2 linked regions of the Pelodiscus sinensis genome follow. The protein of the gene in region 2 interacts with the protein of the main gene of each other region in a biochemical or structural test. Links are inferred from orthologs where the notes say so. Each region holds a gene or a part of one and is shown on either strand. Other genes may lie near its edges. The genes, in order: CHRD and BMP1.

Region 1 (5,900 bases), on a different chromosome or scaffold from region 2:
GCCCCCCCCACAGGGCTCTGTACTGCCCCCTCCCCCACAGGGCTCTGTACTGCCCCCTTCCCCCCCCCGCAGGGCTCTGTACTGCCCCCTTCCCCCCCCGCAGGGCTCTGTACTGCCCCCTTCCCCCCCGCAGGGCTCTGTACTGCCCCCCCCACAGGGCTCTGTACTGCCCCCTCCCCCACAGGGCTCTGTACTGCCCCCTTCCCCCCCCGCAGGGCTCTGTACTGCCCCCTTCCCCCCCCGCAGGGCTCTGTACTGCCCCCTTCCCCCCCACAGGGCTCTGTACTGCCCCCTTCCCCCCCCACAGGGCTCTGTACTGCCCCCTCCCCCACAGGGCTCTGTACTGCCCCCTTCCCCCCCCCGCAGGGCTCTGTACTGCCCCCTTCCCCCCCCCGCAGGGCTCCGTACTGCCCCCCCCACAGGGCTCTGTACTGCCCCCTTCCCCCCCCACAGGGCTCTGTACTGCCCCCTCCCCCACAGGGCTCTGTACTGCCCCCTTCCCCCCCCACAGGGCTCCGTACTGCCCCCCCCCACAGGGCTCTGTACTGCCCCCTCCCCCACAGGGCTCTGTACTGCCCCCTTCCCCCCCGCAGGGCTCTGTACTGCCCCCCCCACAGGGCTCTGTACTGCCCCCTTCCCCCCCGCAGGGCTCTGTACTGCCCCCCCCCACAGGGCTCCGTACTGCCCCCCCCACAGGGCTCTGTACTGCCCCCTCCCCCCCCCACAGGGCTCTGTACTGCCCCCTTCCCCCCCCACAGGGCTCTGTACTGCCCCCTTCCCTCCCCAGGGCTCTGTACTGCCCCCTGAATGCCCGGGGGAGCCAAACACAGTGCCCACTGCCCACTGTGAAGTGCAGCAACCGAGTGGGCAGCCTCAGAGGTGCTCTAGGGGCAGGAGGGCCCCCACTTACCGGCTCACAGTAGCAGACCACACAGTGCATCACCCCAAAGGGCTCGCCCAGATCCGGGTGCCAGGTGTCTTCCAGGGCATAGAACCTGCCTCCGAACGAGCAGCCTGGAGATGGGGAACAAACTCCTGAGCGCACAGCCGGCAACCCAGCGCCCAGCTGTGACACCCTGCTACACCCAGCGCCCAGCCGTGCCACCCTGCCGCACCCAGCGCCGTGCCACCCTGCTGCACCCAGCGCCCAGCCGTGCCACCCTGCCACACCCAGCGCCCAGCCGTGCCACCCTGCCACACCCAGCGTCCAGCCGTGCCACCCTGCCGCACCCAGCACCCAGCCTGTGCCACCCTGCCGCACCCAGCGTCCAGCCGTGCCACCCTGCCGCACCCAGCGCCCAGCCGGGCCACCCTGCCGCACCCAGCGTCCAGCCTGTGCCACCCTGCCGCACCCAGCGCCCAGCCGTGCCACCCTGCCACACCCAGCGTCCAGCCTGTGCCACCCAGCCACACCCAGCGCCCAGCCTGTGCCACCCAGCCACACCCAGCATCCAGCCTGTGCCACCCAGCCACACCCAGCACCCAGCCGGGCCACCCTGCCGCACCCAGCGTCCAGCCGTGCCACCCTGCCGCACCCAGCGTCCAGCCTGTGCCACCCTGCCGCACCCAGCGCCCAGCCGTGCCACTCTGCCGCACCCAGCGCCCAGCCGTGCCACCCTGCCGCACCCAGCGTCCAGCCTGTGCCACCCTGCCGCACCCATTCTGTGCCACCCTGCTGCACCCAGTGACCAGCCATGCCACCCTGCCGTATCCAGCACCCAGCCTGTGCCACCCTGCCGCACCCAGTGCCCAGCCTGTGCCACCCTGCCACACCCAGCGCCCAGCCTGTGCCACCCCGTCGTACCCAGAGCCCAGCCTGTGCCACCCAGCCCCCAGCCGTGCCACCCTGCCGCACCCAGTGCCCAGCCATGCCACCCAGCGCCCAGCTGTGCCACCCTGCTGCACCCAGCGCCCAGCCGTGCCACCCTGCCGTACCCAGCACCCAGCCTGTGCCACCCTGCCGCACCCAGAGCCCAGCCTGTGCCACTCTCATTCCACCAGGTTTCAGTGATGCCTATAAAAGGCTATTAGCCAGGGGATAAAATGGTGTCCTTGGCCTCTGTTTGTCAGAGGCTGGAGAGGGATGGCAGGAGACAAATCGCTTGATCATTGTCTTCCGTCCATCCTCTCTGGGGTACCTGGTGGTGGCCACTGTCGGCAGACAGGATACTGGGCTAGATGGCCCTTTGGTCTGACCCAGTACGGCCGTTCTTATGTTCTCCCTGCCGCACCGTCCTGTGCCACCCTGCTGCACCCACATGTGACTTTGCGGCCCAGCACCCGGCCTTGTGCCACCCTGCTGCACCCAGACGGACTCCCCCCTCACATCCAGCCAATCCCCCTCTTCTGCTCTCCTGTGGCAGCCAGGGGCTGGCCTGGGCCCACTCACCCTGGGCCATCTCTGCCCGCCCGCTGCACCCAGGACACCTCACACAGCCCATGTCCATGCCATGGGGGCTTGCCGGCTGCCTCTGGCCCCTCGCGCAGGCCCTGGCACCCGCCTGCTGCCTCTGGCACGGGGCAGGGCTCTGCCCCCCTGCCCCAGCCCTGGCACGCGCCTGGCAGGGCTGGCGCGGGGCTGGGCCAGCGGGCAGGGCTGTGAGCTGCCGCGCTGGTGACACGCTGCCCGGCCCGGCCCCTCCCCGCCGCTGTCACGCGTCCAAGCCGAGCGCACGGGGGTGTCAGTGGATGCAGGCGAAGCAGATGGAGGCTGGAGCGCAGCTGGGCCAGGGAGGGCAGCAGGAGTCGCTCCGCGGGCCCCGCTCGCCCCAGCCTGGCCCCCGGCCGCCCCCGCCCCCCCGACCAGCCGCTGCCCCGCGCCGCCCGGGGGGCTCCCACCTGCCGCCCCATCCCCGCGCCCCGGGCCCCTACCTGCCGCCCCCTTGGAGGGGAGCGGGTCCTTCTCGGGCTGGATGGGCAGCAGCGGCTTGGGGCGGGAGGCGGCGGCCGGCGCGGGGCGGAGGGCGAGGGACAGCGCGGCCAGCAGCAGCGGCAGGCGGGCCATGGGCGCGCACGGCTGGGACCCCGCGGGCGGCGCGGGGCGAGTCAGGGCTCCCAGTGCCCCGGCCCCGGCCCCCGGCAGGTTTTATAGGCTCCGGCACGGGCCGCGCGGAGCGGGGGCATCCTGAGCAAACAAAGGCCCCGCTAACGAGGCGCAGGCAGCCGCCGGCCGGGGGATTAGGGCCCCCAGCGGGGGTCCCAGCGCCCGCGGCCCGGAGCCCAATGGGAAGCAGACGCGGGGCCGCGGGGGGCTTGTGGATTGGGCCCGCGGTGCGCGCAGCCCGCCCGGCCGATCCGCCCAATGGCAGCGGGCGGGGAGCCCGACGGGGGGAGCGGGACGGGACAGCCCGGCCCCGCGCACGCCCCGCTCCGCGGAGCTGCCTCTGCCCCGACTGACAGCCCCGGAGAACAGACGGAGGGGCCCCCGCCCTGTCCGCGGCAGGGAAGCCCGGGCCCCCGCACCTCCTGCTGCGCTGCCGGCCCCCTCTGTGCTGCCCGAGCCCCGCACCTCCCGCTAGAACCCCTCCGCACCCACCTCGCTGCCTAAAACCCCCGCATGCCTCTGCTTGAACCCCCTGCACCCCCTGTGCTGCCTGAAACCCCTGCACCCTCCTGCTTGAACCCCCTGCACCCACTGTGCTGCCTGTACCCCCTGCACCCTCCTGCTTGTACCCCCTGCACCCCCTGTGCTGCCTGAAACCTCTGCACCCCCTGCCTGTACCCTGTGTACCCGCTGTGCTGCCTGAAACCTCTGCACCCCCTGCCTGTACCCCATGCACCTACTGTACTGCCTGAAACCTCTGCACCCCCTGCCTGTACCCTGTGTACCCGCTGTGCTGCCTGAAACCCCTGCACCCCCCCTGCCTGTATCCCCTGCACCTTCCTGCCTGTACCCCCTGCACCTACCATGCTGCCTGAAACCCCTGCACCCTCCTGCCTGTACCCCCTGCACCCACTGTGCTGCCTGAAACCCCTGCACCCCCCTGCTTGTACCCCCTGCACCCGCTGTGCTGCCTGAAACCCCTGCACCCCCCTGCCTGTACCCCTTGCACCTACTGTGCTGCCTGAACCTCCTGCAGCCCCTGCCTGTACCCCCTGCACCTACTGTGCTGCCTGTACCCCCTGCACCCTCCTGCTTGTACCCCCCTGCACCTACCATGCTTCCTGAAACCCCTGCACCCTCCTGCCTGTACCCCCTGCACCCACTGTGCTGCCTGAAACCCCTGCACCCCCTGCCTGTACCCCCTGCACCCACTGTGCTGCCTGAAACCCCTGCACCCCCCTGCCTGTACCCCCTGCTCCCACTGTGCTGCCTGAAACCCCTGCACCCCCTGCCTGTACCCCCTGCACCCACTGTGCTGCCTGAAACCCCTGCAACCCCTGCCTGTACCCCCTGCACCCACTGTGCTGCCTGAAACCCCTGCACCCGCCGTGCTGCCTGAAACCCCTGCACCCTCCTGCCTGTACCCCCTGCACCCACTGTGCTGCCTGTACCCCCTGCACCCTCTTGCCTGTACCCCCTGCACCTGCCCTCCTGCCTGTACCCCCTGCACCCTCCTGCCTGTACCCCCTGCACCTGCCCTCCTGCCTGTACCCCCTGCACCCTCCTGCCTGTACCCTCTGCACCCGCTGTGCTGCCTGTACCCCTGCACCCTCCTGCCTGTACCCTCTGCACCTCCTGTGCTGCCTGAAACCCCTGCGGTCACTGTGCTGCCTGAAATCCCTGCACCCTCCTGCCTGTACCCCCTGCACCCGCTCTGCTGCCTGTACCCCCTGCACCCTCTTGCCTGTACCCCCTGCACCTGCCCTCCTGCCTGTACCCCCTGCACCCTCCTGCCTGTACCCTCTGCACCCGCTGTGCTGCCTGTACCCCTGCACCCTCCTGCCTGTACCCTCTGCACCTCCTGTGCTGCCTGAAACCCCTGCACCCTCCTGCCTGTACCCCCTGCACCCACCGTGCTGCCTGAAACCCCTGCACCCTCCTGCCTGTATCCTACTGTGGTGCCCGGAGCCCCGCACCTCCCGCCTATAACCCCTCCACACCCACCACGCTGCCTGAAACCCCCACGTGCCCCTGCCTGTACCCCCTGCACCCACTGTGCTGCCTGAAACCCCTGCACCCCCCTGCCTCTACCCCCCCTGCACCAACCATGCTACCTGAAACCCTGGCACCTTCCCGCCTGTACCCGTCCACCCACCCTGCTGCCTTAAATCCCTGAACCCTCCTGCCTGTAACCACTCCGCACACACCACACCACCTGAAACTCCTGCACCCTGTTGCCTGTACCCCCCGCATCCACAGTGCTGCCTGAAACCCCTGTACCCCTCTTGCCTGTATCCTCTGCATCCACCATGTTGCCTGAAACCCCTGTACCCCCATCTGTATCCCCTCGCACCCACCATGCTGCCCAGACCCCCGCACCGATCGCCTGTAACCCCTCTGCACCCACTGTGCTGCCTGAACCCCCCACACCCTCTTGCCTATATCCCCCGTCCCTCAGTGCACTACTGGACCCCACCCTGTTGCCTGGACCCCTGCAGCCCCCACCTGTATCTTCTGAACCCCACTGTGCTGCCTGAAACCCTCTCACCCCACCACCTGTATCCCCCTGCGCCCACCAGGGCGCCTGAAATCCCTGCATCCCTGCCTGTATCCACCTGCACCCACTGTACAGCCTGAAACCCCTTCCCCGCACCAGACTGCCCAGGCCCCCGTATCCCACCTGTATCCTCCACACCCCACCGTAGTGCCTGAAATCCCTGTAATCCTCTGCCTGTATCCCCCACCCTATTGTGTTGCCTGAATCTCCTGCCCTCTCACTGCACTGCCCAGACCCCCCCCATCCCAGTCAGTACCCCCTGCCCCTCATTGTGCTGCCCGGATCTCCTGCCCCCCACTG
Region 2 (5,900 bases):
ATTGGGAACAGAATTCAGCTCCCCTATGTGCTAGTCTAGCCACTAGGCCACACTTCCCTCCCAGAGCTGGGATTAGCCCCTCTCTCCCTCCTCAACACTAACTATAAGATCACACTTCTTATGAAAGTGAACCCAGGTGGCCTGCCAGCCACATTCCTGCAGCCCACCGTGATCGACAGTAACCAAAGCGCTAATTAGCGGATTTATAAACGCGAGCTGCCACAAAAGATTGACTCAGAGACAGAAAACCGGCTCAGCCAGCTGCCTACCCAAAGACTTGCCAACTCCCTGGGCAAGCCACCCACTCAATACAGCAACTGTCCACAGCAGCACGTGCAGAGACAGACAAAAATCAAAACCCGGACACCTCAATGCACAAGCAAGACACGGCCCTGGAGCGCTTAATGCAACTGGATGGTGCTGCAGATACACAGGTGATGAGGGCAGAAGGAAAATCTGTAGTCAGAGATCTGGATCTACGGAAATAGCAATTCCCTGGCTGGGGGTGGTCGGGGGAGGGAGGGAAAACTAGGGTGACCTCCTGGCGTTTCTTCCCAGCCTCATCTTCTATGATTCAGTAACACAGACTAGGTGGACGCTGTCCTCCGGGCCCCGGCAGGGGAGTGAAAGCCGCACAGGGCTTCCTTCTCGGAGCTGCCACCCCCAGAGTTGCAATCGTGGGGGTGTTTGCCAGGATCCCCACGCTGCAGGCAGAACTCACAGCACACACGGACTTGGAGGCAGCCATCGGCCCTGCAATCTACCCAGGGGCCCCTCGGCGCTGGGGAGTCTGAACTGCTAAGGCGGTAGCCACCGCGGCGGCCTTGGTTCAGAGCTGGGGAGGTTTATTTTGACAGCGGGGGAGGAGACGGCTGCAGGACGAGGAGAACCGCCCATTGCTTTCATCTAGGGAGTGGGCACCACTGTGATGTGGGCACTCGAATAACAGCGCGGGCAGGACCACAAGCCTGGATGCGTTGCTCAGGAAAACGCCTCTTGGCACGACAGCCGGGTCTGGGCCAGCACCGCCCTGGGTCGGGCGGAGGGGGAGAGAGGGCAAGGGGGAAGGTGGGAGCAGCAGGGAGTTACCCCTGGTGGGTAGGTGGCCGCGGGATACCCAGGGCATTGAGCTGTGCAGTGAAACCCAAGCCCCGTTCTTGGCTATTCCCTCTGCCCCTCCTCCATGTGGAACTTAAGGGAGCCACGGAATAAATCCACTGTGCCAAGGAGTCAGCTGTTTCCGGCTGCTCTTAAAGTCCTAGAAAACTTATTGCAGCTGGTGCCTTGAAAACACACACACACACACACACACACACACACACACGCACGCACACACACACTCTCTCTCTCTCTCTCTCTCTCTCTTCCCCCCCCCCTTTCCCCAGAGCTTTGTGGGAGATGTAGTTGGCCAGGCCAGTCTTAGCAGAACAACTCCACGTAGGAACGGTTTCCCCGTCCGGTAAGAAGCGACAGCCCTGCCCTGATCCCGAGTTACGCCCAAAGCTCATCAGGCGATGAGGATCTTCAGGACACGGCCGGTGCTCGTGCCTATCCAACGGACCCCGATCCAGACTGGGGACTCCTATCACGGCCGCCATACATTTGAATGAGCCACATATGGATCCAATCAAGGTGGGGGGCAGGGCTCCAGTGTGCCACTCCGCGTGTCTCAGACACACAATGGACCAGCAAGCACAGTCCCAGGGAACTCCCCGGGAACCTCCCTTTGTCCATCCTGACCACCACTAAATTAATCCACAATTAAAGTCCCTTCCCCCTCCCACAGAAACGCAAGGTGAAGAAGTGGAGGCTGAAGAGAGCAGATTTAGATGGACAAGGCACAAAGATCCAAAGCACAAGATTAGGCTCTCCCAAGACCTGATCTGCTGTGTCACTTTGGGCAACTCACGGCCGCTCTCTGGGCCTCAGTTTCCCCTCCCAGCACTCTTGTCTTGATTGCAGGCTCTTTAGGGGCAGAGAGTGTCTCTCATGAAATACAGCACCTGGCACAACAGAGCCTTGATTTCCGGGGGGAGGGGAGGCGGTAGATGCTGCTAGTTTTAATACCAGCCCCTGGAACGGCTTGCTCACGGAGGATAACAAGCATCACTCGGATACAATCAGAAGATGCTTTGTACCATCCTGGTGGCACAAACACAAGTCCAGGTCCCACTCCTGCAATCTCAGCGGCCCAGCCGGGCCCCCAGCACTTGTGCGGGTTCCCTTGCACCTTTAGATTTTAAACTCCCACGCTGGCCATTAGCAACGCATCCTGCTGGACTGATTAATCCATTTACTTTTCCGGCCCTTTTCTCAGCATCAGCTCTTTGCAAAAGTGTCCCCATTTCACATATGGGGAAACTGAGGCACAGAGCAGTGATGTGACTTGCCCACGGACACCCAAGTGTCTCCCCAAGGCGCTGATCACATAACGTGCAATAATCACTAACGGAGATGCACACCCCAAATCCCTCTTTGTAAATCTTACCCACCCCCCCACAAAAAAAAATTCCCACTGTTGCTTGCAGCGGTGTATTCAGCTGCGGGGAGGGAGGAAAAACAACAAAACTTTTGCAAACTCTTTAGGCCCCGATTCTCCTCTCGCTTATGGCCCGATCCTGCCCCGCTGAGCTCTGGAGCAGAAGCCCTCCCCTTCACCCCGGAGTGAGACCGCTGGGTCTGTCGTGCCGGGGCCGCGGGGGGGTTACACGGGCTCCATTGGGGCGGGAAGTGTTCGCCTGCTGCTTTGACAGCTCCGGCTGGGGGCGAGCCGAGCCCGTTCGAGCCCCGTCCGCCCTTCCACGTCCGAAGTCTAAACAGAGGGATGGACCCCCCCCCCCCCGTAATCTCGTGGCAACTTCCTTCCCCGTCTCCCTCGCAGGCGGTACGCCCCCCCCCAACCCCCCCCCAGGTAGACAACCCCCCCCCCCCAGAAACCCACAACTCCGGGCGGAGGGGGGGGCAACCCTCCTGGGGGGGGGCTGGAAAAGTTTCTTGCAACACAAAGGGGGGGGCCCACAACCCCGGCCACACACGGCGCCTCCCTTTTGTCTGCCCCGCCGGCCCGGCAGCCTGACCCGGGCTCCCCCGGCCCCTGCCCTGCAGCGGCTCCCGGCCGGCGGCTGCCAGCGCCCCGCGGCCCTACCCGCTTTGCACGGATCCTTGTAGTCGATGGGCTCCGCGTCCTCCTCCTCCTCCAGCCCCTCGGGGTAGTCGGGGAAGTCCAGGGCCGGCCCCAGCACGGCGAAGGAGAGCAGCAGCCAGCCCGCCCGGAGACCGGACATGCTGGCGGGCGGGCGAGCCCGGGAGCGCAGGGCGAAGCGGCGCGGGCAGGCGGGGGCCGCGGAGCAGTGGCAGGAGACCGGAGGGCTCCCCCCCCCCCTCTTTTTTTTTTAGGGAAATGGGAGCTGGCGGGGGCGGGTTCAGGCCGGGAGCTCGGCCCCTCCAGCCGGCAGCACGCAGCCCTGCTGGGCACCGGGCCAGCGGGGTGGGGGAGACGCGGCTGCCGGGGCGGCTTAGCAGCGCCGCGGCCCCCCTGGGGCGGGCAGCCCCCGCCGGGCTCCCTGCTGCCTGCCCGCAGCGCCCCGTGGCGGGGGCAGGTTCCTGCGGGGGGGGGGGGGGGGGCTGCAAACCCGGGGCTCCCTGCAGCGAAGCCGGGAGAAAGGGGCAGCCCCGGCGGGCGGGGCTCCCAGCTGCCCCAGGGCAACTCGGAAATCCTGCCCCCTCCCTCGTGGCCCTTGCTCTGTGCAATGGGGGAGGGGAAGATCTTTACCCTCCCCCCCCCCCCCGCTGGTCCATGGGATGCCATAGACCCCAACCCGCTCCGGCTTGGGAAGGCCACTGGGGAGGGACCAGCCTCCTGGGTGAGCGTGCACCCCCAGACAGGCCTAGGGCCAGCCACCCCCAGGATGTGAGCACCCCAGGGCTCCCGGCCTCTGGCTGCATGTGCTAGGCTGCTGGTGGAGAGAGAGGCCAGTCCCGGGGGGCTGGAGTCTCCCTGGCTTTGCACAGGTGTTAAGGGCTCCGGCCCCCCGTGCTGGGGTAGGGAACCTCGCTGTCCCTAGTGTCAGAGGAACCGCCCGGGGTGGGGCTGTGCCCCAGTGATGTCCCCCTGCCGTCCGGAATCTCGCCTCCCTCCCAAGTCCCATGGGAGGGGCTGAACCTGTCTCACCCCAGGCCCTGGCCTTGGACCAGTGAGTTCATGAGAGTCTGAGGGGGCCGGGGTGAACCTGGGGCCAGGAGCGGCTGGGGGCGGAGCCCTTGTGCAACGCTTACCCCGCCTCTCGTTTTCTAGCAGCCCTTCTCCACCGTGAATTCATGCGGGTGGGATGTGCTGGCCTGGCAGCCTGCAGAGGGAGGCCCTGTCTCATTCCAGGGCAGAGACGGGGGTCCGCATCCCGTATGCATGCGCTGGGCCCCCCAGTGCGCTCAGCAGCCTACTCGCTCCTGGACCTGTCTGCGGATGCTGTCCAGTGGGACTGCAGCAGGGTGTTACCTGCCCCCCAGGAACCCACCTGCACATCCCAGCACGAGCCCTGTATCTGTGCAACAGGTGTCTGCACACCGGACTGATGCACCAGGCCAGACTCTGCCTGCTGCTGAGCCCCCCAGTTCAGCCAGGCTGAGGGCCGGGAAGCGACCCCCGAGTGAGGAGCGCAGCCATGGGGCGGGCACCTCAGCTGTGCAAAAGGGCCATGCTGGGAGCTGATCGGTGGAAGGATGGAGCCAGGCCCTGGCACCCGCCCCAGCAGGGAGCCCTCAGCGGCCTTCCCACGTGGAACTGTGCAAAGAGCCCCAGCTACTAGGTCTGTGGCTGACACCTACAGGTCACGTCGTGTCACTTCAGGCCTGGCCCGTGGTGGGCGGCTGCTGCCTGGCTTGCACAAGGACCCCGAGACCCCGTTTGGTCAGGAGCCCACCCAGCCTGTGCGCTTCTTAGCCACTGAGCAGGCTGCTTGCAAACAGGCGGCCCAAGGAAGGGGAGAGCCGAGCTCCCTGCCCCCGACTTGGCTGGGGGTTGGCTCTTTGCAGGTGGCACCAATCTGCAGCGAGTTTGTGCTTGTAAGTTATTTCCCCCTCAAGGGCAGTTATGGCCCCCGGCAGCACATCTCCTGCTGCCACCAGCCCCTCCCCTTCCTGCCCTAGGGCCTCCCTTGGCTGCAGGCTGGGGCTGGCAAGCAGGGCCCTGTCTCTCACAGCCCCAGAAACGGTTAGTGGCTCTGCAGGCACTTTGGGAACCTTTCCCGTGGTCATGTGAGTGGGGGTAGGCCACACGTGGCAGCCTCTTCCCAGCAGCCCTGGGTGCCACGCCCTTGCTATGGTACATGGGGGCAGGTGTTGGCTGGGAGCAGCTGGGTGGGGGCTGTGCTCACTTGTCAAGGTGTGTGGGAGGATACGGAGCGTTCCCGTGTCCTGTTTGTGCGTGCACAGTGTCTGCCTCTGCAGTCATTGGTGGCCCTGGGTGCCTCTCCTTACAGAGCACAGGGGGCAGAGATGGCAGAGGAGACTCAGGCAGTGGGGTTCCTGCCACATGCTCCTCTTGGGACTAGACCTCTGCCTGCACCAAACGCTCACCGCCAATGTTCCCGCTAATGTTTTCCATCCATGTGCGGCATAAACTTTGCATGTGCACCACGGCATGTGGGAATGTGCACCACCACCAGGAACAACCAGCCTACACGTGGGCACTCTGCTCAGGAGCTGGGTGGCGTTTGAATCTCTCCTGAGCGGGCGTACAGGCACCCCCAGCTGACAGGGAACGCTGATCGCCTGCCCATAGAGCAGTGGGTGGGAGAGGGATGCCTCTCCCCCTCATAACGATGCTGACTTGTTCCCTGTCTTCCTTTAGTCTCTACACTCGCTTCTGCCCTCCCCTCCGCGGGACAGAACACAGTGTCTCC

Evidence for each region.
Region 1: of the proteins of BMP1 (region 2) and CHRD, one has a biochemical effect on the other in vitro, tested with the Homo sapiens proteins (3 studies listed by BioGRID and IntAct). The link is inferred for Pelodiscus sinensis from reciprocal best matches to the Homo sapiens genes BMP1 and CHRD.

What each region holds. Positions count from the first base shown.
Region 1 is NC_134720.1:48,396,227-48,402,126, reverse strand, and holds the start of CHRD (chordin), read right to left. Parts: upstream 3,317-5,900; 5' UTR 3,005-3,316; coding exon 2,872-3,004; intron 1,015-2,871; coding exon 911-1,014; intron 1-910. UniProt on the Homo sapiens protein: Dorsalizing factor. Key developmental protein that dorsalizes early vertebrate embryonic tissues by binding to ventralizing TGF-beta family bone morphogenetic proteins (BMPs) and sequestering them in latent complexes.
Region 2 is NC_134738.1:11,541,143-11,547,042, forward strand, and holds the start of BMP1 (bone morphogenetic protein 1), read right to left. Parts: upstream 3,582-5,900; 5' UTR 3,285-3,581; coding exon 3,146-3,284; intron 1-3,145. UniProt on the Homo sapiens protein: Metalloprotease that plays key roles in regulating the formation of the extracellular matrix (ECM) via processing of various precursor proteins into mature functional enzymes or structural proteins.